Linked DNA regions of Diceros bicornis minor. The protein of the gene in region 2 interacts with the protein of the main gene of each other region in a pairwise test. Links are inferred from orthologs where the notes say so. Each region holds a gene or a part of one and is shown on either strand. Other genes may lie near its edges.

The links.
Region 1: the proteins of TXLNA (region 2) and VPS52 interact in binary tests that used the Homo sapiens proteins (3 or more experiments, as listed by UniProt). The two-hybrid records come from large-scale screens. The link is inferred for Diceros bicornis minor from reciprocal best matches to the Homo sapiens genes TXLNA and VPS52.
Region 3: the proteins of TXLNA (region 2) and keratin, type I cytoskeletal 20-like interact in binary tests that used the Homo sapiens proteins (3 or more experiments, as listed by UniProt). The two-hybrid records come from large-scale screens. The link is inferred for Diceros bicornis minor from reciprocal best matches to the Homo sapiens genes TXLNA and KRT20.

The regions. Positions count from the first base shown.
Region 1 is NC_080753.1:31,183,559-31,193,611, reverse strand, and holds the start of VPS52 (vacuolar protein sorting-associated protein 52 homolog), read right to left. Parts: upstream 4,390-10,053; 5' UTR 4,125-4,389; coding exon 4,035-4,124; intron 3,206-4,034; coding exon 3,121-3,205; intron 2,976-3,120; coding exon 2,923-2,975; intron 2,730-2,922; coding exon 2,654-2,729; intron 2,468-2,653; coding exon 2,400-2,467; intron 2,087-2,399; coding exon 1,911-2,086; intron 1,529-1,910; coding exon 1,378-1,528; intron 1,100-1,377; coding exon 999-1,099; intron 889-998; coding exon 756-888; intron 620-755; coding exon 562-619; intron 195-561; coding exon 61-194; intron 1-60. Other genes in the region: RPS18 (small ribosomal subunit protein uS13), read left to right, coding at 4,568-4,624, 5,047-5,145, 8,869-8,955, 9,035-9,136, 9,254-9,345, 9,479-9,554. UniProt on the Homo sapiens protein: Acts as a component of the GARP complex that is involved in retrograde transport from early and late endosomes to the trans-Golgi network (TGN).
Region 2 is NC_080752.1:46,971,296-46,981,362, reverse strand, and holds the start of TXLNA (alpha-taxilin), read right to left. Parts: upstream 3,912-10,067; 5' UTR 3,810-3,911; intron 3,515-3,809; exon of another isoform or gene 3,249-3,514; 5' UTR 3,217-3,248; coding exon 3,039-3,216; intron 2,412-3,038; coding exon 2,073-2,411; intron 453-2,072; coding exon 361-452; intron 1-360. UniProt on the Homo sapiens protein: May be involved in intracellular vesicle traffic and potentially in calcium-dependent exocytosis in neuroendocrine cells.
Region 3 is NC_080757.1:40,304,063-40,314,699, forward strand, and holds the start of keratin, type I cytoskeletal 20-like, read right to left. Parts: upstream 4,390-10,637; coding exon 3,982-4,389; intron 2,019-3,981; coding exon 1,936-2,018; intron 606-1,935; coding exon 449-605; intron 110-448; coding exon 1-109. UniProt on the Homo sapiens protein: Plays a significant role in maintaining keratin filament organization in intestinal epithelia. When phosphorylated, plays a role in the secretion of mucin in the small intestine.

The DNA of each region.
Region 1 (10,053 bases), on a different chromosome or scaffold from region 2:
AAGCTTTCCGTCACCCATGCTCAGAGTCCCCTCATGACTGAAGCTTGTTCCTCCTCCTACCCTCTGATCTCCCCGCTGGGCAGTGTGAGGCACCAGGATGGGGGCCTCCAGTTCAGTGGGAGAGATGACAGAGCCACGGGTCCCCAGGGTGAAGATGGTGTTCCTGCTGCGGAGGGATGGCTTCGAGAAGAATCGTGAAGGGTCAGAGTCAGGGAAAACAGTAAGATCATAATTGTGATGGAAGATCAAAGACTCAGTACCTCCAGGGACCCCAGGCAGCCAGACACAGCCTAGATGTCCCTCTTTCCCAGTACCAGGGTGCCACTGCACCTGACATCTGTGAATGGGCTTCAGACAGCCTCCATACTCCCTGACATGATATGCAAAATTATGTGTCAAGATAATATGTGCTTTCATCTAGGGAGAGAGGCCATAGCCTTTAACATATTCTTGAAGCTTTTGGTCCCACAGAAACAGGTAAGCAGCAGTGCCCTGGAGACTAGAGGCAGAAGCCCCCTCACTCTCTCGGCCTAGCATGAGGGTGCCTCAGCTCTAGGATATCTTTCTTTGCTGTGTCTTCCACGCCCATTAGATCATCCTTCTCAGCGACTTCCTCGTACTAGAGAAAACAAAACAGAGAACTGGTAAGCGTCTCTTCCCATGGTATTATAAAAAAATTTCTTTTTACATTGTCCCCCCTTGCCCAGCAGTGGCCCCTCTTCCCAGCCCAGGTGCCCAGGTGCCTCTGGCCTCACCTGCACCTTCATGAGCCGCCCCAGGTAAGAGCGGTAGTAAGACAGGTAGATCTTGCTCAGCGTCTCCACATATTCATCCCTCATCTCCTTTGCTGTGGCTCGCTCATTGCCCAGCAGGAACTGATAGAAGAACCTGGGGGGGCCAGGGACGAGTCAGTCTCCTTGCCTGCCCAAGAAACCAGACACCACAATGGGCTGCTCGCAGCTCAGAGGCCATCCCGAGCCCTTCCTTCGAGTGGCGACCTGTACTTCAGCAGGGCCGTCTGGGGGATCTGATAGTTGGTCATTGGTTTTCTGAAGGAATAAATCTTCTGAAGGATGAACTCTCGGATTTTCGTCACTGCCTAGACGTGAGGGACCAAACAAAGGCATGAACCTGCAACCTTCTTACCATTTGGGAGGCAGTGGGGGAAGTGACAAATGTTAAATATAGGAGGAGAAAGGGTGGAGAATCCCTATTCAGCATTTCTTAAGATTTTCAAGGGAACCCAGAGATGGGAAGTAAAGGCAGGGTGAAGTTCTTGGGGGCAAGCTACAATGAGCTCTGCCAGGGAAATCCAGGATGAAGGTCTCAGGGAAGCTAGTTCTAGTAGTTTCTAGAGTATCCAGTCCCACTCCCCACCTTGACCCGGAGCCGGTCGAGCACGCCTCTGACATCTGCGCAGGCAGCTGTGCCTCTGGCCTCCTGCTCCCGGACTGCGGCCGCCTTGGCATCCAGCTCCTGCAGCTGCTCCAGGAACCTGGGCTCTGTCACTGGCGCCTCCAGAATTGCCCTGAATAGCAGGAAAGGGTGAGCTGGGTTAGGAGGGAGACCCAGACATCCCTAGACTCCAAACCATACCCCCTACATCCAGCCTGTCTCCTCTTCCCATCTTACACTGTATCACACAGTCAGGACATGGGTACAAAGTTTTCTGTTCCTGAACCACCCCCCCATAAGCCTTGGACCCCCTCACTACATGCCTGACCCTGGTGATTCCTAATCTTTGATGCCTAAAGCATGCATCAGTGTTAGAAAGAGTTGTCAACCCACTCATCAGTTTCTGGAAGGCACTTGATGACCTGGAGCCAGGAGACCCATGTGGTAAGTAGGGCAGGCCACCCCAGCCCATCTACCTGCCATAGATATTGTGGCCCTTCAAACTGGTGACTCACGTGACCAGAGCGGAGGGCACCACCAGACCATCGACAAGCTCCCCAAGTTTCCCCCGAACTGCCTGGCGGTTTCGAAGCCGAATGTTCATGGCTCCTGACTGTTCCTGCAGTGTCCGGATCTCAGAGCTGATGGAGCTGAGGTCACTCTGAAAAGCTCCCAACATCTGCTCCATGCGCTGCAGGAGGGCAGGAGATGTTGCTGGAGGGCCACAGGGTTGGTAGGGGACAAGTGGGCCACCTAAGTTTCTTCGTTAAGTCTCCAGTATCTATTAGTCCATGAGGGCAGTGGGTGATGAGGGAGGAGGTACCCCAAAGGTCACCGGCAAATAACATTAGTTACGGTAGTAACAATAAAAAAGTCTATTGAGGTCATCCTGAAAGTGACTCTAACTGTCCCCCCTGAGGCTGGAGACCCAGAGAATGGCACCAGAGACCATGATCTGGGTTCAGGTTCAGGGTTATTGGGGGTCCCAGGTCATGGTTACTAACCTCAAGGACAGCATCGCAGGCTGTGATCTGGTTGTGCAGCGAGGCTATGTTCTCACTCTCTTGGATATCTGACCCACAAAAAGTCAAGGGGCCTCACTGTGAAGATGGAGATGCTCAGACCCACACAACCTCTCCACTTTCTCCCTGAGGTGACAGAAACCTCCGAGAGAAGATGCCAGCCCCATGGGCTGTCAGCACCACATCCCACAAAATCCGTTTTAATAACACCCCCCTTTTCCTCTGCTGGAGGATACAATCTCGAATGGATTTCTGCTCAATCTGCTGAAGCTCCAGCTCAACCTGCTTTGAATAGTGACGGAGATCCACACCCTGGGAGAATGTAAACACGACAGGTCAGGAGGAAGTCACAGTGAAGGGAAACTAGAACAGAAATGACGAAGGACTAGAGGGGAAGACACCAAGGTGACATTATAAGAGCAAGAGACAGTTTTCTTTTTCTTTTCTTTGAGGGGAGGGTAGGTGGAGGGAATTAGTGGGAGATTAGTATAGTGGAAAGCCTCACCGTTTTAAGAGCTTCCTTCACTAACTCATCCTCCAGATTCGCCTGAATGTGAACTGGAAATAGAAGTAAATCATAAGGGTCCAGCTCCACAGCTCCCTCTCCCTTCACTGAACATCTGCACACCATCGCTGCCTTTTACTTCCAGCCCCCACGCCTCTCAGATTATAGGCGCTGCATCCACCCTGTGCCATCCCTTACCGTCCACTTCATCCAGGATGAATTCATCGGAGGTGATGTCCAACTCTCCGAGTTGCAATGGCTCCTGAAGACCAGGACCACCCCCCTGGAGGGGGACAGGTTAAAGGGAGAGAATACATGGAGGAGAGAAAACAAAATATAATGGGATAATCCCCAATCCTTCGCGGCGGGGCTTTTACAGGATGCCATAGGCACCGAGTCAAAAAATTCTAAGAGTCTCACATTGTACCGAATCTACTCCTTGGGGTTGATGGGTAGGGAATATGACAAGGAGACAGGCAACCCACAAAGAGTGTGGAGGTGTCCAGATGAGGAAAATTAGGAGATGCAGAGGACAGAGCAGAGCTTGCAGTTGAATTTAGCATCCCCAGACTCCTGCTATCTTAGGTGTTCTATCATAATCCCTCTGGGGAGCCCTAGCCTTTCTCGAAACGTCAGCTAACACATAGTGTTTACCTGCATGCCCGGTGCCATCTTCCAAATACTCACTCATCTAATCCTAACCGACACCCTATATGGTAGCTCTTATTTTCTTCACCTTACAGGTGTGGAAAGCGATGGCACAGAAAGTCTGGTTAACTCGGCCAAGGACACAGTGTGTAAGCGCAGAGCAGGCATTAGAACCCAGGCCGTCTGGCTCCAGAGGGCATGTTCTAAACCTTTATACTACACTGCTTGTCTGTTCTCCCCCCAAATCTGGAGGTTAATTGAAATTGCTCCCTCGGATCCTCAGTCTCGGCCATTCTGGTCCCCGCTCAGGCTCCGGTCCGATGACAGGGAGAGGTATGGGGAGCCAATCCAGGCATCATCACGGTAGCAACCGAGCTCCCAACTTGTCCCACACCCAGCCCAGGCCCTTCTGACGCGAGGACGACCGGCCGAGACTCCGGAGGGGAACCGCCCCGCGTTCTCACCAGTGGGCCCTCCTCCTCCTCCATATCCGAGGCCCCGGCCCGCAGCACCAGCTCCCGGGCGGCGGCCGCCATCGTCGCGGCGGCGGCCATTCCGCGCAGCCTCACTTCCGGCAGCTGTCAGTCCGGCGGGTCGCTTCCCGGGACAGGAACTACAAGTCCTGGGGCGTCTTGCACAGCGCAAAATCGTTCCCAGATAGTTGAGTTTAATTGTTTGACTCCAGCTTCCCCCTTTCGGTTCTAACCACTTCATCCGAGTGCAAATGGGAATGGGAAGTCTTAAACACAATCTCACGCCGGAACCTTTGCTGCTCTCACAGCCAAGATCTTGACGAACTGTAACGAGAGAACGCACCGGAAGTTGTGGCTCCCAATTCAGACTCGCAGAAGTCGCGTTTGCTCGCGCACAAGCAGTTTCCGGAAGCGCTGCACCAAGATCGCTCCGCCTCTTCCGCCTGGTCACTATATAATGCTTTTACGTCACTTCCGTTCTCTCTTCCACAGGAGGCCTACACGCCGCTGCTAGGTCTGCCGCCATGGTAAGACTGGAATCCGTGCGGGGATCCGGCGACATCGGAACCGGGGCTGGGAAGGTCTGCTATCGGGGGGCCGAGAACGGCCCGTTCTGGGGGTCTGCAGCTTTCTGCGCGAAGCCTTGGATCGTGCCCCTGGGAAGGGACGCCTAAAGACGTCCAGTTTTGGGAGTGGGGCCAGAGGAAGAGTCCGTCCACGGGCGCTCGGAAGCCGCGAAAAGTTTGGGCGTGTATGGGGACCTCCGGCCTCCGCCGTTCAGAGTACTTTTGGGATCGGGCAGGAGACTTGCCCCTTCCCAGAGGTTGCATTTTCCCCAGCCTGAGCACTTCGTGATCCTGCTGTCTGCAGGACTGCAGTTGGCTATGTTGTGAAAACCTGAAGGGCAGTCGTGGCCCCTAGTGTGACAAGCGTAACGCTCCTGTTTGAGGTTACGGTTTGGTGGTAGTTCACGGTGTCTGATTTCTCCCCAAATTTCTGTCAGTCTCTAGTGATCCCTGAGAAGTTCCAGCACATTTTGCGAGTACTCAACACCAACATCGATGGGCGGCGGAAAATAGCCTTTGCCATCACTGCCATTAAGGTAAAGCAGGGTAAGAACTAGACAATATAAGTGAAACGGGTTGTTAGGACCTAAGTCTTAGTGAGGCAGGGTAGAGGAAACATAAGTCCCAACCAGATCCCCTCGGCTACTGGGTTAAAAAAAAAAAGAGACTGGATGAGTGAGTGATTAAATCCCTTAAACCCATACCACGTTTACCCTAAAAGGTAAGTATGAAAGCCAGGGAATAGTCTCAGGTCAAGCCAAAATATTCCACCTAGGAGATGGGGAGTAGATTTGGTGTTCTACCTGAATTTGCTAAAATTTTCCTGGACCATGAGCCATCAATCAGCTTGTGAGGTCCATTGTAGATTTCTGCCCCGCCCCCCATCACACCCGTAATCCTTTCTGTGAAATTTATATGCCCTGGAAATTGAATAATTGTACATTTTGAGGGGTGAGTAGAAATGCCAACAGATTCCAAGTGTGAAGAAACGTATATTTGGGAGGTGAGAGGGGGGTCACTAAATCAGGAGCAGGATGTTGACTCAGATGCCAGAGGTGCAAGTCGTACCCGTTTCAGAAACAGGAACTAGTACTTGGCTTGTTGCATGAATTAAGTTGGTTGAGTGCAAGGTTGGATCTCCCTTCACCAACCTAGTGAACTCCTGGTCTTCCAGATGGAGACATTATTCTATCTACCCCCCCTAAATAGGTGTGATTAGTTGTGGAAATGGTTGAACGTCTTCCTCTCCTACCAGTGGGGGTGGGGATCGGCTTGTCTTGTGAAGAATCCCCAACGTCTGGTGCATGATAGGTGCTCATGCAGTGTTAGGGAGTGGATGTTACTAGGGATACTGTGGCCTGGTTTCAAAGAATTTAGAGGAAACCATGATAAATATTTTATAGATAAGTTAATTTAAAACTAAATCCCAGCTTTGACTTACAACATTAATTAGATTTTCTTAATTTTTCATTCTATACTGCAGGAAGCATAGCTTTCATTTGTTTTGTGTGTGTGTGAGATCAGCCCTGTGCTAACGTCTGCCAATCCTCCTTTTTTATGCTGAGGAAGACTCGCCCTGGCTTAACATCCGTGCCCATCTTCCTCCACCTTATATGGGATGCTGCCGCAGCATGGCTTGCCGAGCAGTGTGTTGGTGCGTGCCCGGGATCCGAACCGGCGAACCCTGGGCCGCAGGAATGGAGCGCACGCACTTAATCGCTTGAGCCACTGGGCTGGCCCTTTTCATTTGCTCTTAAATGGTGTATAAGGAGATTGCGTCCTTCTGTAATTCTGAAACTAGTAAGGCCATGGAAAGTACAGTACCTTTTTCAAGGGTTGCTGTGAGGCCTAAGTGAGATAGTGAATCTAAAAGATGAGCATAGTTAATAGGATGCTTCTGTTAAGTCCTTTCTCTCTACCTCTTTGAAATTAACTGGTTTTGTATTTGTTAGTTTAATTAAACGTCATAACCTCTGTAGTGAGCTTAAAACAATTTTGTCAGAGCAGTTTCAGGTACTTAATGAGCACTGTGATAAGAAGACTCTTGGGATCCTGATGCCCTGCTTTTCACTGGGAAAGGTTATTCCTAGAGATAGATGAGTACTGAGGTTTTTGCTGGTTACCTGGAGAGCCAGCAACTGCAGCAAGCTCTTCCTCTGGTGAGAGAACTAAAGTGTAGAGGTGGTCTTTTGTTAAGGATGTGGTATGGGAGATAATACTTGGAAATTGGAAGAAAGTTGGGGGTGGTGGCTGAGTGTGGGGAGGGGATTCCTGAAAAGATGTGATTAAAGAAGTGGTAAGCAAGGTTAATTGGCCAGGGAAGGGTGAAGAATGGAGTGGAAGTTGACCCAAGCAGAAGAGGGCGTTTTGTAGAGGTAATACAGATCCTGCAAGATTATTTTATGCCGTGATCTCTTCCTCATTGTTTTGTTTCCACTTAGAGGCTTTGCTATGAGTATTCTTTAAGGCTGGCTGGTCTTCTGCCCTTTCTCTAAATCAGGGTAGTAACTGCCATCTGTGGATTATTTGGAAACATGGGAGGAGGGGCTTGGAGTTGGTCACAATGACTGGAACATCATACCTGCTGGCCTTGTTTATAAGGAATTCTTGTCCTGCCAAAGTGCCAGTGCCCCCATGAGTAACAGTGCTCTAAATACTCCAAGAGTAATATTAAGTTGGTATCAACTCTACTGTTATATGTTCCAGACCCTTGGACTATGAAGATGAGAAAGTGATGGTTCCCTGTAGTGCACTCTTCTGGATGGAGAGAACAGGAGTGTTCTTGGGGCAGAGAACAGTGGATCTGGGGATCTAACTTAGGAAATTGTCCAGCCAATCTCTGGAGTCAGTAAACAGGACTTTCAAAATCTTAGTTTGACAGCAACTTTTAAAACAGTTGCTGGTGGAAAATTTGAAACATTCAAGAGTAGAGGGAAGAGAATTATTGGCACCATGGATGTATCATCTAGCTAAAAATTAGAAATCTTGTTTCATCTACACCCTTCCCCATCCACTCGTTTTAAAGGATGTATTTCTGACATAGTATTGCTTCTGTAAATATTTAAATTTGAGAGAGACTTAGACCCTAATCTTTTCTGAATCTACCTCCTGATAATTTGATTTCCTAGGTCACATTCTTATTTCTAGGAAGTACCATCTGTTTTAGTTTACTGGGGCTCTTAGAACAAGTTACCGTAGACTTGTTAGCTTAAAACAACAGAAACTTGTTCTCTCAGTGCTGGAGGCCACACATCGCAAGTCAAGGTGTGAGCAGGGCCATGCTGCTCTGAAGGCTCGAGGAATCCATCTCACCTCTTCTCTGGCGGCTGCCAGCACTCCTTGGTGTCCTTGTCTTGGAGCTGCATCACTCCAGTCTCTTGCCTCTGTTACCACGTGGCCTTCTCTTTGTGTCTTGTGTGTCCTCTCGTTTTATTGTAAGGACACTGGATTTAGGGTACACTCTAATCCAGTACGACCTCATTTTAACTAATTATATTTGTAAAGATTCTATTTCCAAACAAGTTCACATTCTGAGTTTCCGGGTGGACATATATAGGGGGTTAGGGACACTTAAACCCAGCACACCATCCTTCACTGTCCAAATCTCTTTGGTTCATGAGTTCGGTGGCAAAGAGTAACAGTGTTGGTGTCGATACGATGCCACTAGTGTAAGCATTAGTTTCCTTTGAGTTTGATTTGGGCAGTTAGCTTCCAAGGGCCTGGTCATCTCCAGGCACTAACAAAATCGTTTGTGATCTTGGAGAACTTGGATCCTGGGGATGTGGTGATCTGACCAAAGAATCATGAGGCTTAAAGACCCTGAGCCATTGACAATCCTACCCCTTGCTCAACCCTGTTAAAAGGGTTGCTGCTTTGATGCTGCATCAGCTTCGAGAGCCAGGCCCTTTGTCCTCCAGCAGGAAATTGAAAGGTACCCCTCTTCTGTGCTGCTGCAGTGTCTAGCAGCTAGCATTTATTGACAACTGCGTATGCTGGGCATTGTGAAAAAAAGAAAAGATTCTGCTTTCAAGGGGCTATCAGCTATCCTCTGTTCATGGTCCAGCCCTGCCCCTGAACAAAACTTTTTCTCCTTTCTGTGTAATGGTTAGGCTTCATATCTGGGAAAGTGGGCGGGGCAGGGGCAATCCGGAAAGTATAAAGCACTAGGTTATTGCAGGCCCTACCTTTCTATGCTTTTGATTGGAGTAGGGGCTATAAAGGAAATCAGAATCAAACCCAATTCCAAAACCTCTCCTCAGGGCGTGGGGCGAAGATATGCTCACGTGGTGTTGAGGAAAGCAGACATCGACCTCACCAAGAGGGCAGGAGAGCTCACTGAGGATGAGGTGAGACAAGGAAGGGGGTGTGGGTTGGGCCTACCTCGGAAGGGGGGCATCTGGATCTGACCCTTCTCTTGCCTGCCAGGTGGAACGTGTGATCACCATTATGCAGAATCCACGCCAGTACAAGATCCCAGACTGGTTCTTGAACAGACAGAAGGATGTGAAGGATGGAAAATACAGCCAGGTGTGTATTGAGATGGGAGACGTTAGAGAAATGGAAGGCGGGGTGTCCAGCTGGAATTGGGCAGTCATAGGAGGTCAGGGGGTAAAACACATCTCTCACTTTCTCTTCCAAATCCAGGTCCTGGCCAATGGTCTGGACAATAAGCTCCGTGAAGACCTGGAGCGACTGAAGAAGATTCGGGCCCACAGAGGGCTGCGCCACTTCTGGGGGTGAGTAGGGGTGGGGAGTCTCATCCTGCCTGCCCGCCCCTAAGACTCAGAGATTTCTCTGGCTCCATTTTCTCTCCCCACCTTTTCTTTGTGTTGTATATGACCTGTGACCCTTTTCTTTTCTCACCTGCAGACTTCGTGTCCGAGGCCAGCACACCAAGACCACAGGCCGCCGTGGCCGCACTGTGGGTGTGTCTAAGAAGAAATAAATCTGTAGGCTTTGTCTGTTAATAAATAGTTTATACACCTATGGCTTCCTTCTTTGTGGTTCTCTCCATTCTTCTGGGGACAGTGATGGGGAATGCTATCACTCTGGGCCCTGTTCATCTTTCCCCTCTCTCCGCTGATGTTCCCCCTCAGCTGCCCAATCAGTGTCTTTGCTCTTGGTTAAAGCAGTAGTGTTGCCACGCCCCACCCTGCCAGAAGCAGCCCTTCACCTAGTGGTGCCCCACCCTCTGAGGTATGAGGAAGATGGAGCAGGTTGCACGGTTTCAAGATGACCAAATCCCCTGGGGTTGGTGCGGCAGAGTGGTGTGTGGGTGGCTGAGCCTAGCCAGTAGACGCTGGTGTATTTGCAAGTCTTGGCTGCCCTAGGTCTCTAAAAGATGGGGGCCTGTGCCTAGTCCGGAGGTTCGAAAGTTGGGGCGATGCTGGTACAGATCAAGTCCTCTAACTGAGCGCTGATTCTGTGACCCGGAAGAGCTGGGC
Region 2 (10,067 bases):
GGTATTACAGACTATCAAGTGATTAGTGTTCCTTCTGTGAAGTGTGATGATGGCACCGTGCGTTTTCATATTTTGGGAGGACGCATACTGAAGCACACGGGCGAGACAAGATGGTACCCGGGACTCGGGCCAGGAGCTCGGGATCCACCACTGGAACATGAAGCCTCTCCTATTACTCTACATCTTACCTGAAGAGGCTGGTTGGGACCTGACTCCCCACTAAACAGACGCGCAAAAGGCTCTGAGAGAAGTTGGACAGGAATTAAGCCACCCACCTGCCCCTGCACCCCAAACCCCACACCAGGTGGCCTGCTGACCTTCTGAGGCAGGGAAGGTGCGAGGAGAAGGGGGAGAACTGACCAGTTCAGCATACTTCTTGCACAGAGCTGCCAGCTTCTCCTCTGGGGTACTCAGCGTGTTCAACGTCTGCATCAGCAACGTGATCTCCTTCCCTGCAAAGCACAGGGAGCAAAGGCATGTACCTCCTTCTCTGGAGGTCCCCTCCAGGCCTGGGCCCACCATCTTCCACCCGAGGCAGCCCTCCCTTATCATACTTGATATTTCTGTTTGTTGAACTGGCTGCCTTTGCTGCTAGACTGTGTGCTCCACGAGGGCTGGGACCAACTCATTTCTGCCCGTTACTATAGCCCCAGTACTGCCTCTAGCGCCCACCCCAGAGGACAGGCTCAGCAAATGCTTATGAAATGAATGACTGAATCTCTGTGGAATCTCCTTGGTGAGCACCAGGACTGGAAGAAAAAAAACTGCCTGCTCTACCAACAGATGAAAGAAAGGTGTCCCACCAGTGAATGCAGGGCTACTGTTTCAATATAAGGAAGGTCCTTCTGAAAGAGGAAGGATGCAAAAACGAACAGGTCTCCTTGAGAACTACTAGACTCGTCAACACAGGCAGCCAAACAGTGAACTTTAACATGAGTATACCTTCCAATATTTGATGCTAAGGTGAAAAAACAACAACAAAAACCACCCTCTTTAAATTAGAATGGCAGGTAGAGGTGGGGGAGTAGGAACTAAGACATGGGCATAATATCACCTAACTTTGATTCTTTAACATACACTAGCCTGAGTCCAATTTTCCCACTGTCACCTGGAGGGCCGGCGTACAGAGTACAGCACGAGGCTCCTGAAGGGTCAACCCTGGGAGGCTCCGAGATCAGGGTGGAGACTGGAAATCGCTGGCACACAAGCCAAATCCAACCCACAGATGGGTTTTGTTTGGCTCCCAGCATATGAGTTGCCAAATGTTAGAATTCTGGACATTTCATGTAACCCTAGATTTCTGGCTTTTTTTTTTTTTTAATTTTATTTATTTATTTTCTCCCCCAAAGCCCTAGTAGATAGTTGTATGTCATAGCTGCACATCCTTCTAGTTGCTGTATGTGGGACGCAGCCTCAGCATGGCCGGAGAAGCGGTACGTCGGTGTGCGCCCGGGATCCGAATCCGGGCCGCCAGCAGCAGAGCGCGCGCACTTAACCGCTAAGCCACGGGGCCGGCCCATGGCTTTTCTTAAAAAAAAACAAAAAGGAAAAGCTGGCTACACTTAGCCTGTGGTTTTACATGCAACGTTCTGGGACCAGGCGGCAGTCAACCCTTTGGATGAAGTAGGTACTCTCTTGGTCCTCATGGGGCCCCCCAGCTAGCTTGGCTCATTTGAGTTTTCAACCCTGGTCTAGGCCAATTCTCTTACTGTAGAGAAACAAACATTAAGGACTAGAGAGAAGAAAGGTCTTGCCCAAGGTCACAGAGCAGGTTAGAAATGGTGCTGGCTGACACAGGAGCCCACTCAGGTCTCCTGCTCTCCACTTTGTCAGAGAGCGTAAGTTGGATTTCAGTTCCTACTTGCTCCCAAGGCCAGAAGCCCTTGCACAGTGAACAACCTGCACACTTCTATGCAATGGCCCCAAAGCACTGGCTTTGATTAAACTAGCGGGACTCTCTGCTCTGGGAAGCAGGATTTCCTCTGAATCCTGGCAGAGCAGGCTAGCCCAAGGAATGTCAGGTCCAAACTTCTCCCCCTCAGCACCCTCACAAGCAGCCGCCCTCTGCTCACCCAGACCCTTGGCTTTCTTCTTCTCTTGTGGCCTTCGGTGGTCTCGGTCTCCGACTTCGTCACCTGCCCGGATCTCATCTGTGCCTGGCTCCCCCTTGGAGGTCTCCTTCTCACCATTGACTACTGGGGTCTCTGGCTCAGGCTCCCCATTCCTCGAAGCATAGGTCCGGGACTTCTCTGCATCTTCAGGCTCAGCAGGCTCACCTTGTGCCCCGTCCTCACCTGGGGCCCCCTGATTGTTGTCCACACAGTAGGTACTCAGGATGTCTTCCAACTGGCGGCTCAGCTCCTCAGACACATCACGGAGGGCCCCGGACTGAGCAGTTTTGGCTTGTGCTCCTACACCAGGAGAGGAGGAGGAGCAGAGTGAGAAATAAGATGGTTATACCAATGGTTGGCGTTTTTCAGGTCCAAACTTACTAGTTTGGGTGAGATGTTGCCTAACATCTTTAAGCCTCAGTTTATTTACCTATAAAATGATATAATTATTTCTCACTGCTGCCCGATTGTGTTTGAGTATAAAAGAAATCAAGTAAGTAAAGCATCCAACATAGGGATGGCATGTAGCAGTTCAACGTCTAGTCCCTGCCCTTCTCCTCCCTGCAAAACTCATTTCTTACTATTAAAAAAGTTCCAGAAATGCCTCAAATATGAACAGCAGTTACCCACTGGTGAATAAGGTGTTTCTAACCTGGATTTGCTGGCTAGGTGTCTCATCTGACTGCTCCCTGATTTAATCCTGTCAGAGCCTTCTCTCAAGACAGTTCTGTTCCTGTGCTTAGGGTGGGGGCTCTACCCACTCCCCAGGAAACGGTGGGGACCGCACAGACTCAGCAATGTCCTCTTCTCATTCTACATTTCCTCCTTCCTGGGTAAACAGTGGCCCTGCCCTCTAACTCCAGAAGCTAGACTGGCGAATCACAAACTCCTCCCCCTGCCCGCTGGAAAAGCAGAGCTGGCACACACCCTCAGTCTTCCCTGGAGCCTGGCTGGTGGAACTTTCAGCTTCTGTCGCAGGAGCCGACTGGCCGGGCCTCCCCTGGGCTCCCTCCGGTCCTGCTTCCGGTTGCCCTGGGGTGCTTTTTGGGTTGGAAGTGTTGCCCGATTGCTTGGCAGCCCCATTCTTTTTGTCTTGGTTCTTCATTGTGGTTTGCAATGCTAGGTTAGGAGCAGATCCTATAGAAACAAGCACACTTGCTATTTTCCAGACTAAGAAATTCTTCGTAGCCTGGATCAGAAATCTCAACACTGGGCGCACAAAGCTTCTTAAAACAAACTGGCCGGCCTTCCCCGGAGGGAGCCAACGGTTCCCCCTGTCTCTAGCCAGTCACAGGAGCCTGGTGTGCCCAGGCAGGTTTTCCGGGCGCTGCTCCGGGAGCGAGGAAGGAGAGGCCTCCTTTTTCCCGAAACCACTTCCCGGGGACAACACGGGCCCTCACGCAGGCCTACCGCGGGACAGGCTCAGGGACCGAGACTGACGTGGCGAGACGCTCCATCGCCGGTCCCTCCCCGCCCCCTAGGCCCCACGTGGGGCCCCCAGCGCGCGCCCGCGCGCAGCCACCCACACCCCGCGCGCCCTCCAGCCGCGCGCTCCGCCCGCGCATGCGCACAGGTCTCAGCCCTGCCCCCCGGCCCGAGCTCTCGCGCAGAATCGGCGTGTTTCCCCGCACTGGCCGAAAGGGTTCAGGTCCACAGACCGTCTGATCGCCTCGTCCCTCTAGCCGCCGTGGTACCCACCTCAACGCCAACGTCCCGACGGCTTCGCCCGCTCTGGCCTCGCACCGGAAACCCTGGGTAACCGCTGCCGGCAGAGCCGCCTGCTCCCGCCGCAGCCAATCAATAGCCGGCGCTCTCGCGAGGCTTGCTGGGAAAGATGAAGCGAAGGCAGCCTCTGAGGCCGGTGAGTTGGGAAGGCGGGGGAGGGAGAGGACTACAAGTCCCTCCATGCACTGGGGCTGACCCCAACTCCCAAGATGCAGTAGGAAGGGGTTTAGTCTTGGAGCCCGATACCCAGGAGGTCCGAAAGAAGCAGGTCATTTTGCACAAACATCAACGTCAACCTCGTTTCCATTACGCGGAAGCTGTGATTCAGCTCTCAAAGCCTTGCCCCTGGCTGTTCTTTCTTACATGCCTCCACCCTTTCTGCGAACATCTATGACTATCTAGGAACTCTGAGGACAAGGGATAGAATACTGGGGCTGGGAATCAGGAGATTTGTATTCCAGTCCTAACTTCATCACTAATTTGCTGTGTGACCAGGCATTTTTTTCTTTTTAACAATTTTTATTTATTTATTTATTTTTCCCCATAGCCCCAGTAGATAGTTGTATAAGTTGCACATCCTTCTAGTTGCTGTATGTGGGACACTGCCGCAGCATGGCCAGAGAAGTGGTGCGTCGGTGCGGGCCCAGGATCCGAAGCCCAGGCCGCCAGCAGCGGAGTGCGAGCACTTAACCTCTAAGCCACAGGCTGGCCCCTGGCATTTTTTTTTTTTATCCGAGGGCATCAATATCCGTATTCAAATAGAAGCGTTTAATAACAATAGCAGTTCTTTGAGCGCTTACAGTGTGCTTTCTCAGTGTCTACTAGCTTAATCCTCATAACTAAGTACTATTTGTTATTCCCATTTTATAGCCAAGGACCGTAAGGCAAAGGTTAGATAACTTGTCCAAGGTCACATCGTTATTGAATGGTTAGAGCAGAGATTCGAGACCAGGAAGTCTGGCACCAGCACCCATCTTTAACTACTAGACTACCCTGCCTCTTACCCAGAAGAAATAACCACCATGGGACGCTTTCCCTGACGATGACTTGTGACTTGTGAAAGTAGGTTATATTTTTTCCCCTCTCCATTACCAGCTTGAGTCCCTCTTTGGAAAGGGTAAGGGGGCCCTGTAAGGGGAATTTTGGCCTCAGCAGATTCCTGAGCCTTTTCTTTGACTGGCTCATTCTCTACAAAGTCTCAGTTGCACTGGGGCTAAAGGGGAAAAAAGCCAAACTTTTCTCCGCAAGTGATATCACAATTCTTTATCCAGTTGCCTAGAGGTAATGGAAAAAAAACCGACAACTCTTGCACATGGAATTTAATGTCTACATGGTTTGGCTTCTGTTTCTAGCCGATCCTGCCCATCCCCTCTGCCTTTTTTGCTCCAATTATACTTTTATTTCCAGGATTTCCTAGGTTTTTGCAGGTGCTATTCCACCTTCCAAAACGGCCTTCTGGCAAAAACAAAATCTTTTGAAGTCCAGGTCAAAGGTCACTTCAGAGCCTTCCCAGTGCTCTGCAGTCTGTCCTGGCTCCCTAAGTCTGGATAGAGGTCTTATTACAGCATTAGTAACAAGGTGTTGAAATTACTTGCTTTACAAGTCAATGACATTGCGAGAACAACAATGACATTGGCTAAATTCTCTAGTCCTAAAGCCTAGCATCATTCTGGAGGCAGAGAGTTTTAAATTGTTGTGCAAATTGGGCATTGTTTTAGGGCTCTTAAGATGTTAAGTATTTTCCCCAGTTAGAGACTTCAGGGCAGTTCTCTTCCACATCCCTTAGGCAGCAAGAGTTTGCATTTTCCAGGTAACATTGAGAGGCAATATGGTATAATAGTATAATGGTCAAACTCAAGCTCTGAAAGGTTTGGAATCCAGGTCTCACGAAACCAAGTCCCTGCTTATTTCCAGAGAAGCACGTTGGAAATTTCTTGAGAAGGTAACATATAAATCAAGCCTTGATGGATTTTCATGGGAAGAGGATGTTCTAGGCAGAGATAAAGAACATAATAAGCAAGAACAAGGTATGCATGGGGTGAAGGGTGGAGTGGTGTATCAGGATCATCAGTGGCCTACAGGGGCCACCTGGGTAATGAGTAGAGCAGGCAGGCAAGGAATAAGAAAATTTGATAGAAACATGGGTTAAAAAGTTACTTTCTCCTTTGCTGTAAAAGAGAATATCACCAATATTAGCATCTGCCAGAGTCAGTCAGGGAGACCATTGAGAATGGCGGTGATTGTGGTAAAATGGAGCTCTTGCAGATTGTTTTCAAGCAGAAACTCAGGCCCAGCAGTGCCAGATATTTTTCAAGATAGATATATCTTTATTTTTTTAAATGTTGGCAACAAATTAAACCTTAAACACACTCTATCAGCCAACCAAAACCCTCCTTTTGGGTTGAACCAACTTTTTGTCTGTAATCTCTGCTTTAGGAACTGATCTAAAATGAAGTGGGTAGTTGTGAACTGTATGACCTCAATGGGCTCAAAGGGCTGTGGAATGGTGCTGATGAAATGATGTCAAAATCCTTTAGAGAAACTCTAGAAAATATGCCAACTAAACTATAGTGACAAAATGCAGATGCGTGGTTGCTGGGGGTCGGGCAGGAAGGAGGGATTCCAAAGGGGCATGTGGAAACTTCTAGAGGTGATGGATATGTTCACTATCTTGATTGTATATGCCAAAACTTATCAAATTGTACATTTTAAATATGTGCCATTTACTCTATGTCAATTATATTACAATAAAGGTGATTTAAAAAGATTCTCTATAGCAGGAGCAGGCTGTTGCAATTCTTAATTCCACTGTTAGGCCACAAGTTTAAACACCCTCTCCTCATTCGCTTCCACAAAATCTAGGATCATTCCAAAGAAGACGATTTAGAACTTTGCAACAGGTTTTTATTTTTGCTTTATATCTATTACAGTGTTTGAAACCTAAAGAAATACATTTTCTCTTCAAATTTGGATGTGTATATAAATATCATTTGTCTGGACTCAGCACACTCAATGCCATGGTTTCTTGGCCTATGTCTGCTCTGAAATAATCAAGCTTTGTCTGTCTACCCAGGGGCCCTGAGAACATGGAAAACAGCCAGTTTACAGTTCTTGGAAAACTAAAAGCAAATGAATTTGGAAAGAAAAACCAGTAAGGAAAAGGGTTCGATTCACCTTCCTTAGGTTTGTAGCTGGGAACCCAAGCTGTTTCTGAGGGACAGCCAGTCTGTCTTGGGTGGCTAAGACCTCACAGCCCCTTCACTTCTTTAGTGGTTCAATCAAAGGCAGTTCCCACAAAAGCTGGCCAATACCTAACTCCAGGGCCTGAAGGTTCTTGTAGAGGTGGGCTCTTTAAGGCCATCTTGTGAGTCAGAGGTTCCTAGCCAGTCTCAGGCTCTAAGCTTTGACTTCCTTCACTGCCCCCAGGGCATGGCCAAGTTTTCTCTCCCCAAACCCAGGGGCTGAAAATCTGACCTACACAGGGGAGCAGGGCTAGTGTTTAGCAGAAGGGTTCAGGTATGTGCTAACGCAGACGTCAGCAGTTAGGCTTGCCCAGAAGTAGCGAGGTAGGCCCAAAGCCACTGAAGACCTTTATAACACACTACACAAACCTTTCTCCCAGGGTGTTCTGGGCCCAAAATTTAACACTGCTTCTTCTAACTCTCATACCCAGTTTTGGTTCTGCACATAGCCCAGGCCTGATGCAAAATGCCCTCTGAGAGGAAAATAACAGCTTTAATTCACAGACTTGGTTGGTATTGACCTCAAATTCTTCATTTGCCGTGGTCTTAAATCTGGGGGTGGGGCTAGGGGCTAGACAATGGGATGACTGAATCATTTAGGAAGGCCTTGGTCAAAGAGCAGCTAGTGCCTACCATATGGATCTCCGCAGAGCCAAATTCTCAGCTTGTTGGCTTAACAACAGAATCCAAAAGTTAAGACAAGAAAAAATACTGGACAAGATTGGTCTAGAATGTGCAATCCTAAAACGGCTGTGGAAGAAACCCACTCTGGGCAATTTTTCACTCTCACACTCACTTTTTGGATAGTCCTACCTGGAAGATGTTGCTACTGGTTATGAGCGTTTCCTCAGTTCAGTGCACTGAGCCTTGCACCCTTCCCCAGCCTGCCAGAGAGGCAGATAGTCATACACATTCCTGAGGCCCCCAACCAGCCTGTTTTCCCTACGTATCCCTGTAGTGCCTGCAGGGACCTGGAGAACCTGACTCCCTGCCTTCAACTGAGAATCCAGAATCTCACCCCACAAGATGAATCTACTGAGGAATACCCAAAATGATGGATACCAAGCTGAGTCTCACTGAGAAGAGATGTGGCCTGAACAAATGAGCTGAGGCCTTCAAAGAGGGGCATGTGGGATGAGGAAGTATTCCCAGGCATTCATCTCCTTCCCTTCTAGTTTGCTAGAAACAGGGGTAACTCTAGGATGTAGAAAGAAGGCAGTAGACTTGAGAAATGGAAATCCAGTTCATTCTGATAGACCATTTTCATTTTAAACTGGTTTGGCTTGAAAGAAATAGCAAGTCAGTGCCTGAGAGCCTTCCTTGCTCTTCCTTAGCTAAGTACAGAAGCAGTTATAATCTGTGCAGTTCAGTTCCAAAAAACAGGGCTCCTGGAAAGTGGCTTCTACAGCAAAGAGAGAAGGAGTAGATCTAAGAGTTCTAGGAAAAGGGGGAACATCAAGGGTCGGGTCCCTGAAAGCTGAGATCATTAATGCCTGCTTCTTAAAAGGGTCATTTGTACCCACTACCCCAAGTGACCAGGCTGGCCAGATGAGGGTGGAACCCTATGGTTCAACCAGAAGGTTGCAGCCAACACCAAGGCTAGGCAGTCACTGGGGACAGCTCAGAATTGAAGGCAGGCTTCTAAGACCAGAGACCTTGTTAGTACTAGAAAAGATGATTTTGGGGTGGGATGTCCAGAGGGGCTGGCAATAAATAGCTGGCACTGTTCAAAACAGTATTTGAACACACTAGTTAAGAAGTAGGCTCCTTGTTCCCTTAATCCACACCTAGATACTTCCACCTCCACCAAAGATCTTAAAATGGATATACCAGCCATATTGCAAACATATGAAGATTCCAAAAACATGTCTTATCAGGCTATTCCCTACACCAGGCCGGGGAGCCCTTCCATCTCTGCAACGTCCATTCAGAAATCTACCAGAAAGCCTTTGACCTCTCCTAGGCCAGGGTCTAGAGTCCAGATGGGAGCTGCCCACAAAGAGTGGCTGTCAAGCCTGGGCTAAAGAAATAATATTTTGCTTTCCAAGAAAGCCGAGAGAGAAGACAAGACACAAAAGATGATGTTACTGCCTCTATGGGCTGTAAGAACTTTGCCTGTTGACTAAAAAGGAGTTAGAGGACGATTATGGGAAAACATGGTCTAAGGAAGACACTAACAAAGGAAAGCTCCTAGAGGCCACTTAATCTGATGAGAAATCTGTCATGTTGTGCCCTGGGAGACACTTCAGTCTTTGAAATCCTTGGAGAAAACTGGCTTTAAACAGAAGCCAGATCATTAAAAAAGTCTTCCATCTGGTATAGGACCCAGATCTGAAGTGAAAGTAGATTTTGGAGGAATAGTTGGGAAAAGCAGGATGTGTATGTCTCACAATAAGAATTTGGCCCCAATAGGACTTAACTATTCTTTGAGACGTACAAAGTAGATCCTACTAAAGTGCTCTGCCCTTTGGACAAAGACAACGGGGGGGGAGTAGCTTTTGTCTGAACTGGAAGAGAACAGTTTTGTAATGAAGTCAGCAGGCCAAGTGAAAAAGGTCCTGCCCCTTGCCTACCTGTGGGATTGGGGGTTGGCAGTCACCAATCCCAAGCTGAAGAGTAGCATGTGACTCACTAAGGTGGTACAGCATTGGTGTGACTTTTTAGTGATAACCACTAGCCCCAAACAACCTTTCTCAGAAAATGGCTCTGGAGTTGGATCTTGACACTAGAAAGAGAGGGCAAATTCAAGACCAATGGCCGACAATGAGCACCTGAACTTAGATCTGTAATGAGAGGGGCATGGATTTCACCTGAGCCAGAGGGGATGCACAGGAATAGGAGCAAGAATGGCATTGTTTCTGGGGAAGGGAAGATACAGCTTGGAGCAGGGCACCTCTGACCAAGCACAGTGGGGAAGCAGGGGCAGGGAAGATTGTGCCTTCAGCTCCACAGCTGGTCTATACTTAGCCAATTACTTCCTCCACCCCTA
Region 3 (10,637 bases), on a different chromosome or scaffold from region 2:
CATATTTCTGCCTCATTTCATTCATGATGGTGCCGAGGTTCAGGCCTGGAGCAGCATCCACCTCTACACTGACAGTATTGCCCAGCTGTCTGCGTAGGCTGTCCACTTCCTACGAGACAGAAAAATCCTGATTGGTTGTAGTCTGAAGCACATTCTCAGATAAGGCTGAGCAGAAAAGACACAATAAGTTTTATGGCTTCTTTGATTGGGAATGAGTAAAAAAGAAAGAAAATAATAACTTAGGTAGGGCTTATTGTAGTCCAGGTACTGCTCTAAGTCATTAACCCTGACAGCAACCTTAGGAAAAGAAGTTAGGGCTTATGTCATTATTGTTGTCATCGTCTTCACCATCACCACCACCACCAACTCTTCCTCCTCCTTCTCCTCCTTTTTATTATTATTAGAGCCATTCTATCATTCCCAATACCACTTCTGAATATTTTCTCACCTCCTGATGTTCTTTTTTGAGGAGAATCAGTTCCTTAGTTAATCCTTCAATTTGAATTTCCAAGTCTGTTTTTCGTAGGGTTAGATCATCCACGACCTTATTCAGGCCTTGGAGATCAGCCTCCACTGTTAGACGAATCGCTCTCTCAGTCTCATACCTGTGAATTAATAAGTATGCAGAGATCATTGAGTTCTTCTGAAGCCATTAGGGAAGTGATAATATTAATATAATGAGATAGAGTTTTATGTGATATACAAGGAGATCAATTTCATTACATTATTGTGTCCCCCTTTATACATTCCAAAAATATTCATGAGAACCTGGGAATCTGATAATTTGCTCCATAATGTAATCTCTGTGATTTGGAGTGATTGGCAAAAAAGCAACCTGAAATAACTTCTAAAAGTTCCTAAATTCTAGAATATATTTTAAAAGAAATAAAAAAATTTTTTCCTTTAATTACTGTGTTATCAAAGGGTTTTCATTATTGATATTAAATAATGGCTAGTTAGATCTACTTAATGAAGGTACATGATCAATTTATTTTTAGTATTTTGTAAACAGATGCATCCAAAGTGAATTATCTTAAAAATTCACACATTCTCCTCTATAATCTCATAAACTCCCATTTTTATTATAGTAGCTCACTTTAAAAAAATGATAATGCAATGGAACACTCAGATGCTGACTTAGCAAAATTGAAATTAATGAACATTTATTGCTTTAATCTTCAGATCTCCTTTCCCATTTCCTTCTTTTTGATTCCTTGTAGCATTAAAATGCTAAGCTTCTAAATCACAACAGACTTTTTAGTGCTGATGCATTGTACAAATTCAGGATGAGGAAGCCCTAGTGTAGAAGCACTTTATGAGGAACAGCTCTGGTCACAGGTAGTGTGAAATGACTACAAGAGAGTGAACGCATTTTGAACTGCTTTGATCCTAGTCCTAGTTCTTTGGTCAGTTAGAGTGTACTGTAAAACTCTGGCAAACTCGAAAGCATCCCTGGAACTTGGGTCATGCACTTGTAGGCACTTGAAGGAACATGGATGGCTCACTTGGAGAATCACTAAGGGTAGAGAGATGGCTCCTTTAGGTAGTAGAAGGGCACTTATGCAGACGGGGAGTTGTAAACTGCTTTGTTATTACTTCAAAGGGCAGAGTTAGCTTCAGTGAGTGAAAAGGTAGATGCCAGGTTACTAAAAAAGAAAGTTCTAGCAACCAGACCTAATCAAGGAAAACAGTAGTAGTTACTGGCGGTGTTCAGTTACATGCAGGGTGACCGGATTTTAGGATTGTGGGAGAGAGAAGTCCAGCCCTGAGTGCTGGGTTAGACCAGATATCTTCTAACACCTTTAAATTCCAAGATTCTGAAAATATTTAATGGTAGCTCCTTTACCAACAATAATATGGAAAGCTGAGTGTCATGAAGGACTACTAAAAAGAGTTCCTTTTCAGGAAGTTCTACCATGATATTAAAGAACCTACTTCAGCCTGAAGTCTTCGGCGGCCAGTTTAGCATTATCAATTTGCAGGACACGTTGAGCATTTTGTAGTCGAGCATCTTTAATCTGGAAAATACATGAGAAAAAAACGACAGTTTCAACTGGATAGAGCTTAAAATGATTGAGTTTATCCTCAGCTCCAACCACTATTATACGAAAGATGGTGTTCAAGAATTTCCACATGAAAGTAGAAAGGAGAAATAATGATATGGGTATTTAGCACAATAGAGTCATAAAATGCAACTCTAGTCCCCAGGGTTGGTCAGCTTTCTTGTGCTTTTACAAAAGGAGAATTTAATTCAACTTGAGCCATCAAAGCTTACTGAGTGCCCTGTCTTTGATGTTGTTCCTGCTTAGACCATTCCTCTGAGCCCCTCTCACTTGGTGAAGTCCTCCTCCTCCCCCTCCTCTTCCTTCCCCTCCTCCTCCATGTCTCAGCTTAGACATCATTGCTTTAAGGAAGCCGTCACTGATTTCCTCAAAACAGAACTGCCTGTGCTCTCATTGCCCTACACAGCCCTCCATGCTAGCATTTTCCCTCTGTGTGGGATAAATGTTGCCTTTGTCCATGCCTGTTTCCCCCTAAATCATATTATGTCCACCACCATATACTCCAGTGCCAGTGTGGTGCCAATACCTAGTTAGTGTCTGCTAAATATTGGCTGAATGAATGGGAACTTGCTATGTGGTGGGAGTTGTGCTGGGCACTGAGGCTATCAGGATGGATAAGTCCCTGATCTTAAGAAGTGGTTTTCAACTGGGTGAATTCTCTAAGATGCATGTGGATCAGAAGTCTGCTTGTAGAACATGTTACAATGACGTATCTCTTTCAGCAGATCCAGTTCTGGAGAGGGTTGCCTTCCTTCATATACTGAATCTGCCCAGCTAAATGGAACGGATGGCTGTGCCTATGTGTTTGGGGTGATCCAAAGTAGCTGCAGAAACGTGAATCGTGAGATAGGTGGGGGAGAATGGTTGGCTGATTTTGAATGTTTTTAGTGGGAGTCTGAGAAGAAGGACCTGTTGGCAGAAAGGGTGATTTAAACACCTTTGCCTCACACATCCGTAAGTGCCTGAAACCCCAAAGTAACTTCCTGTAGAATCTGAATTAAATCATACTGATGTCCGTTACAATGCCAGAAAAAGAGACTTACTGGTAAGTGAGTGGCCTTTGCTCTAAAGGAATACGAATGTTAAAATAGAAATGAAAACGAAAGGGACACTTTTTCTTGATTAGATAAGAATTTTAAAGCAGAGCAAGTGCTCAGTGTCATATCTGAAATCCTCAATGAGGAGCAAAGTCTTCTTCTTTTATTCCAGATAAGTGATAAAACAGAGAACTCCACCTTTCTTGGATGACATGGGAGCAGGTTCTGATATGATTGCAATAAATTTGAATTGGGGTAATTGAACATTTTATTACTGTAGAAGTGGTTTCCCAACTGCTTGGTGGTGATGATCAGGTTATTAAACAGGACATTTAAAGATCCGGGTATCGTTAGGACCTAAACCCCTTCCCTCCATTTCCTCCCTGAATCACTTTATCATGGAAATCTACGACACAGTATTCTAATACTTGTACTACGACATTTACATAAATAAAAGGAGGAAAATCTCTAAATTGGCTGGGGTTTCAAAAGTTCATTGGAACTAGGTGAAAAAATTTAAAAAGACATTATCACATACAAAAAATTTTAGCTCTTTTCAGAAAAAATATTTACTATCCACTTAGCCCTGAGCTGGTAAACTGCGAAAAAAATAGAGATTATAAGATTGGAGGATAAAATTTTCATATTTCCTATGTAATTAGATTTAAAAAATTTTAAGACAGTATGATTTACAAGTCATCCCACTGTGTAGTCAGGTACTCCAGCACTAAGGGTAGATGATAGAATATACCACTTTTATAGATGTAGCATTTCAGCCCAATTTGATTTACAACGTCCATTTGGACCACCTAACGTATATGCCCTCTTGATATATTATGCACCTAAACAATGGAGTAGAAAACACAGGCATCCTCTCTCACCTGATTTTGCAGGTCTTCGATTTGTTTGTAATACGCACTGTAGTCCCGACTGGTGGTAGGCGCGTTTGTTTCATACCACTGCTTGATCTGCCTTTCAAGGTTGAAGTTGGACTGCTCCAGGGACCGCACTTGTTCTAGGTAGCTTGCTAGCCGGTCATTTAGATTCTGCATGGCCATCTTCTCATTGCCAAAAAATGGGTCCCCTCGGGAGAGGTCGCTCCCATAGCTCACTGTGCCTTTGGAGGTCGAGATGCGGGTGCCATGGCCTCCAGCTCCCCCATAGACGCTGGGTGCAACCCCGAGGTGCTGTGTGCCCCCCCTCCTATACATGGAGCTCCTAATGCTGAGTGCAGGACCCTGCGAGGAGGAACTCAGGCTTCTTTGGAAGCTTTTGGCGCTGAATTCCATTGGGGATTCTAGGAGGGAGAAGCTGTAGCCTCAGGATGGATGGAGCCGGGCCTGTTTCTCTGCGGTGGATGAGCTGACCTTTTATAGAGTTCACAGGAAAAAAACTCCTCCTCCGTTGACCTTTCACCTTAGGGTTGACATCACAGTCCATCTTACTTTGCTCTTTTTTTTCCCCTTTGTACAGCGATCTGTTTAATTCCATTCCAGAAATTACCACTAGAGGCATTTCTTAGAAGCTTTGCTCAGGGGTGATTTCTTTTTTTAAACAGAGGTAAAAAAAAGGAAACAGGAAGGTGTATTCTTTTAGCCTGTGCACCTGCCTGGGCAGATTTTTTTTATCCTAATATACACATAATGAATATTTGCAATCTTTATGAATAATTTAGGTACCTAAAAAGACAGATGTGGGTGCAAAGTAGTAAGTCACACTGGCAATAAAGAACGTTTAAAAAAAAATTTTTTTTTTATCTTTCTTTTTTTGGTGAGAACATTTAAGTTCTGTTCTCTTAGTAAATTTCGATTATACAATACAATATTTTCGACTATAGTCACCATGTTTATTTTTATTGTTTTTTTTAGTGTAGTCGTTTTCTTCTTGTTTTATTAGTGTGTATAGAAACCACCCGGTTTCCATCTTATTTACAATAATCTGTCATAGGCTTGAGGACTGAGGTTGCTCCACTTTTCCCTTTTTTAGGTGAAACAGCCTCAGTTCTCTGCATAATTCCTGCTGGATCTAGTCTTCCACCTGTTGTGACTAGAACTGCATTCTTGGAAGTGTTCCCTGAACATCACGTGAAAAAGTATTCTGAGGAATTCTGTTCTGCTTGTTTACTGTGGCTACTCAGATCCTTTTTTTTTTTTATTGAGGTAACATTGGTTTATAATGTTATATAAATTTCAAGTGTACATAATTACATTTCAATTTCTGTGTAGATTACATCATGTTCACCACCCAAAGACTAATCATAATCCATCACCATACACATGTCCCTAATCACCCCTTTTGCCCTCCTCCCTCCCCCCTTCCCCTCTGGTAACCACCAATCCAATCTCTGTCTCAATGTGTTTGTTTGTTGTTGTTTTTATCTTCTATTTATGAGTGAGTTTATATGGTATTTGACTTTCTTCCTCTGACTTGTTTTGCTTGGCATAATGCCCTCAAGGTCCATCCCTGTGGTCAAAAATGGCAAGGTTTCATCCTTTTTAATGGGTGAGTAGTATTCCATTGTGTATATATACCACATCTTCTTTATCAATTCTTCCCTTGATGGGCACCCAGGTTGCTTCTAAGTCTTGGCTATTAGTCACCATGTTTAAATTAGATTCTCAGACCTTATTCATCTTACAGCTGAAAGTTTGTATCCTTTTACCAACCTCTCCCTATTTCCCCCACCCCCAGCCCCTGGACACCACTGTTTCTATGAGCTTGACTTTTTTTTAAGATTCCACATATAAGTCATACCATGCAGTATTTGTCTTTTTCTGTCTGGCTTATTTCACTTAGCAAAATGCCCTAAAGGTCCATTTATGTTGTTGCAAATGGCAGCATTTCCTTCTTTTTTTATGACTGAATAATGTTTCATTATATATGCAATACAGTCATGTGTCACTTAACAACAGGGATATGTTCTGAGAAATGTGTCATTAGGCGATTTCATCATTGTGCAAACAGGGTAGAGTGTACTTACACAAACCTATAGTAGGCCATAGTATGGCCTACTATACACCTAGGCTATATGGTACTAATCCTTGTCTATGTGGTCCGTCGATGACTGAAATGTCGTTACGTGGGACATGATTGTATATAAAACATCTTATTTATCCATCCATCCATTGATGGACACTTAGGTTGTTTCCCTACCTTGGCTCTTGTGAATAATGCTGCAGTGAACATAGGAGTGCAGGTATCACTTTGAGATAATGATTTCTTGTCCTTTAGATATATACCCAGAAGTGGGATTGCTGAATCATGTGGTAATTCTATTTTTTTTTTTTTTTTTTGCTGAGGAAGATTCACCCTGAGCTAACATCTGTGCCAATCTTCCTCTATTTTGCATGTGGGTTGCCGCCACAGCATAGCTACCAATGAGTGGTGTAGGTCTGTGGCTGGGAACCGAACCTGGGCGCCAAAGTGGAGTGCACCAATCTTAACCACTAGGCCATGGGGCTGGCCCTGGTAGTTCTATTTTTAATTTTTTGAGGATCCTCCATACTGTTTTGGAGAGTGGCTGCACCAACTTACCTTCCCATCAACAGTGCACCAGGGTTCCCTTTTCTCCACATCCTCACCAGCATTTATTATCTCTTGTCTTTTTGATGATAGCCATCCTAAAAGTTGTGAGGTGATATCACATTGTGGTTTTGATTTGCGTAAGAACAAGGGTTTATATGTATTGATAAATCACTCTTCTGATTCTCTGTTTTATGCTTTTTTTTTGGCTTTTAAGTTTATCCCTGTTTCGAGATTATATTTTATAAGACTATAAAAATATTTTGTACAAGCATAAAACCTTGAATATGTAAAACAGGAATGAAACATTTATACATTTGGAGACTTAGTTTGGGGAAGTGAATTAAGTGAATTTAGGTGAGTGGTGGATAGATGATTTTGAAGCTTTTTCCTAGTTCTAATCTTCTAAGACTAGATAATGCGTTTAACTTCTCAGTCACTGCCTGGCATTAGGTCTCATTCCCTAGAAACTTAGAATAATAGCATAGTGATTTGCACCTGACCTGGTGTGTGGAGGAGTCTCTCCCCTCTGTATAAGGTCAGCTCAACACCCACCGTGAGACGGACCCTGCTCCATCCATCCTGAAGCTACAGCTGCTCCCCACTAGAATCCCCAATGGATTTCACTGGCAGAAGCTTCCACTGTAGCCTGATCTTCCCCACAGGTCCCCACACTCACAGCGTGAGCAGAGCAGTTCCATGTATGGGCAGTGGGAGTGTGCAGTACCTTGGGGCTCCATCCAGCCTCCACGGTTGGACTGAAGCCCCTGCAAGTGTGTCAACCTCCGGATACTTGCTGAGCTCTGGGTGTGATCTCACCAGTGGGCATCTGATGAACACTGTTCAGCTGAACAGAATTTTTTCATTTGCTCCCCCTTATTCAAACTCCCTGGCCCAAAATTTTACACCTCCCCTGAAACATTTAAATTGTTTCCTTAATCAAGTTAAATGGAAAGGATTGGGAAAGTCACAGAAAACATCTCACTAATTCTCATCCTGATACTTTAATTGAATTGAGGTTTGTATATGATTAAAGCAAGCGAGTAAACAAAAAGACAAAAAAGGAAAATAAAACAAAAAACCTAAAAAAGGCGTATCCAAACTCCCTACACATTCTGAAGAACTGGCAATTTACTTGATTTAGTGGCCTATTTTTGTCATCATTGTTTTTCTTCCACTGAAAACCAATGGCTTTTTTACTTTTGACTATGAGTTGTTTTTTTTTCTTTTTTTCCCCCAATATCCCTCTTCTAAAATAAGGTAAGACTATATTATTTCCCTCTTATAAATAGTATGCTTTAAAATAATACTTTGTATTAGACTTTGCTTCAGTTATATTACAAAAGAAAAAATTGCCAGAGAGAGTTAATCCTACTTCACGCACTGTGTGGTATATGTGTGGACAGCTCTTACTTATATTTTTATCCACTCCTATATGCATCAGCCCACACCACCAGTGACTGAACATGTCATTAGCAGATCTTGCCATTTGTCACAGAGCTGTAAATTACTTTGCAAATAGATGTAACAGCTAAAATCTGCAGTGAAGAACTTTTTACAAGCACATGGACTGTGTTATTCTATATGTGTGTATTCACAAAATTAATGTATTTTTTGTTGTCATTTAGTGGAGGAGAAGCAGGTTGTTTGATTAAAGTCATTGGAAAATTGTATTGTTTAAATTACACAAGTTTTGCAGTGAGTTAGTTTCAGCTAAGAATTTCATACACTAACGCATATGACCACAGTGCGTAGAAGCATTATTTAAATCAAGAATTAGCTTTATAACTAGAAAGGAATATAAGTGTAGTTACTAAGCATGATAATTTTTGTTCTGTTTAGCACAATTCTTCCTTATGGCTGAACCCAATGACATTTAAGTGACAGAGTTAAACTCTCATTAAAATGGTTAAAATCAGGAGGCTGGCCTGGTGGCGTAGTGGTTAAGTTAGCACCCAGGGTTTGCAGGTTTGAATCCTGGGCACAGACCGACGCACCACTCATCAAGCCATGCTGTGGCGGCATCCCACATACAGAATAGAGGAAGATGGGCACAGATGTTAGCTCAGAGCCAATCTTCCTCACCAAAAAGAAAAAAAATGATTAAAATCATTTTTAATATTTTTGGAGAAATAACTTTTTTTTGGAGAAATTTTTTGGAGAAATAACTATGTGTTATTACACCATTTTTTGGCTAGTATTTGTAGCTTTTTGAGATTCCAAATTGAAAGTAAAATATAATACAGTAGGGATATCATGGTAGGGTTCAGTCATCCAAACTACTCATTTGTTGGAGTAGGAAAATTTTTACTGTGAAGACTTCCACATGCTTATGTAAGGGCGGGAGAATTTGCTGGCTCCTCTATCACGTTGAGTTTTACGCTTTGGTAGATTATTATATCTTATAATGTGACCACGAGAAATGCGGCTAGTATTTCATAGCAATTAATTTTTCTGAATTACACCTGAGGATTAGATACAGATCCTATTGACTCTTGTTCATGCACAAGTCATGTATTTAGAGCCCTTGATATTCCAGGCTGTTGGATGATTGCATCTGTAAATAAATATTTATTAGATCTCAACTTCCTTGTGGCTAATAGGAGGTGCATTTTGACCTCCAAGGCAGACTCTGCTGAGGTCATTAATGATTAGTATTAAGTATGGCCAGTAATTTGGAGAGTTGTCATAAACACTATAGTTTTCAGAGGACTTTCAACTTTTTTTTCCATTAAGGACAAGCTATTGCAGCCCAGATATGATACATACGGAATCTACAGTCTCTGGGGGGGTTGTCTTCCCCAGGCATCTCAGTTAGGATATGTTGCTTCCATTGGTTGAGAAGGATGGCATATAGGAACTGTGGTTATTTGTAGGCATTGTGGTTCTAGATACCACACAAAGTTAAGTCAGAAAAAATCATGGCCTCTGTGCTTTAAAAATTAGTGTACTTACTCAAATAGTTACAAGTGAAATGATATGATGTCTTCAATTTGCTTCAAAATAATATGAGGTGGAGAAGGAGGGTGGGAATATAGATAAGGGAAGATCAGCCATGAGTTATTTGTTGAAGCTGGGCACTGGGTTTGTGGGGATTCATTATACTATTTTAACTACTCTAGTATTTGTTTGAAAATTTATATAATGAAACGTTTTAAGATGCTGATGTAGTAAACTTACATTATTGTATTTTCACAATCTGGCGTATTTAGGTTTTGATTTGTATTTATTTGGTAATTACGCCCTGCTGTGCTTCAATAAGTTGGCAGATTTGTTGTCTCATAGTGGCTCAAACATAGTAGGCACTCACTATTGACTTGCCATATTAGTGATGAATGAGTGAATAAATAAAAGTGTGAGGCCCAACTTCAAGGAGAGAAGAAGCATTTGCCAGTGTGGGGAGTTTCTTCATGCCCATTGACTGCTGTTTCTGCTAGTCGTGTTAAGAAGTAAAAGAGTTGCAACCCAGGAGTTCAATTTCATGGAGTATGGCAGACTAGATACCCCTAATGTCCCTATCCCAAATGTTTCCAAGGGAAACAACTAAAGTGCATTGTTGTCTATTTCCTTCCTTCTTTCCTTCCTGCCTTTCTTCCCACCTTCCTGCCTTCCTGCCTCCCTGCCCTCCTGCCTCCCTGCCTTCCCCCCTCTCACCCTCCTGTCCTTCCTTTATCTATCTATCTATCTATCTATCTATCTATCTATCTATCTATCTATCTATCTATCTTTTCAAACTTATTGCAGACCTATTATGAAAGGAAAGATTTCTCAGAGATCAAAAAGGAAATGAAAACAGGACCCGTAAGAGACAAGTAAGTGAGAAAGCTGTCTTGTACTCTGTGGGTTTTAATCATGGAGAATCTTGAGCTTCTCTTATGATGTCTGTAAGGGCACAGGAGATAAGATATAGAGTCTAGGGCCTGACTAAAGTGGGAAAACTAACAGGGAACATTCACATAAACCTAGTATCTCAAAGAACTATGCCTTCAGAGTAAGGGTACATGGTAAATAAAGC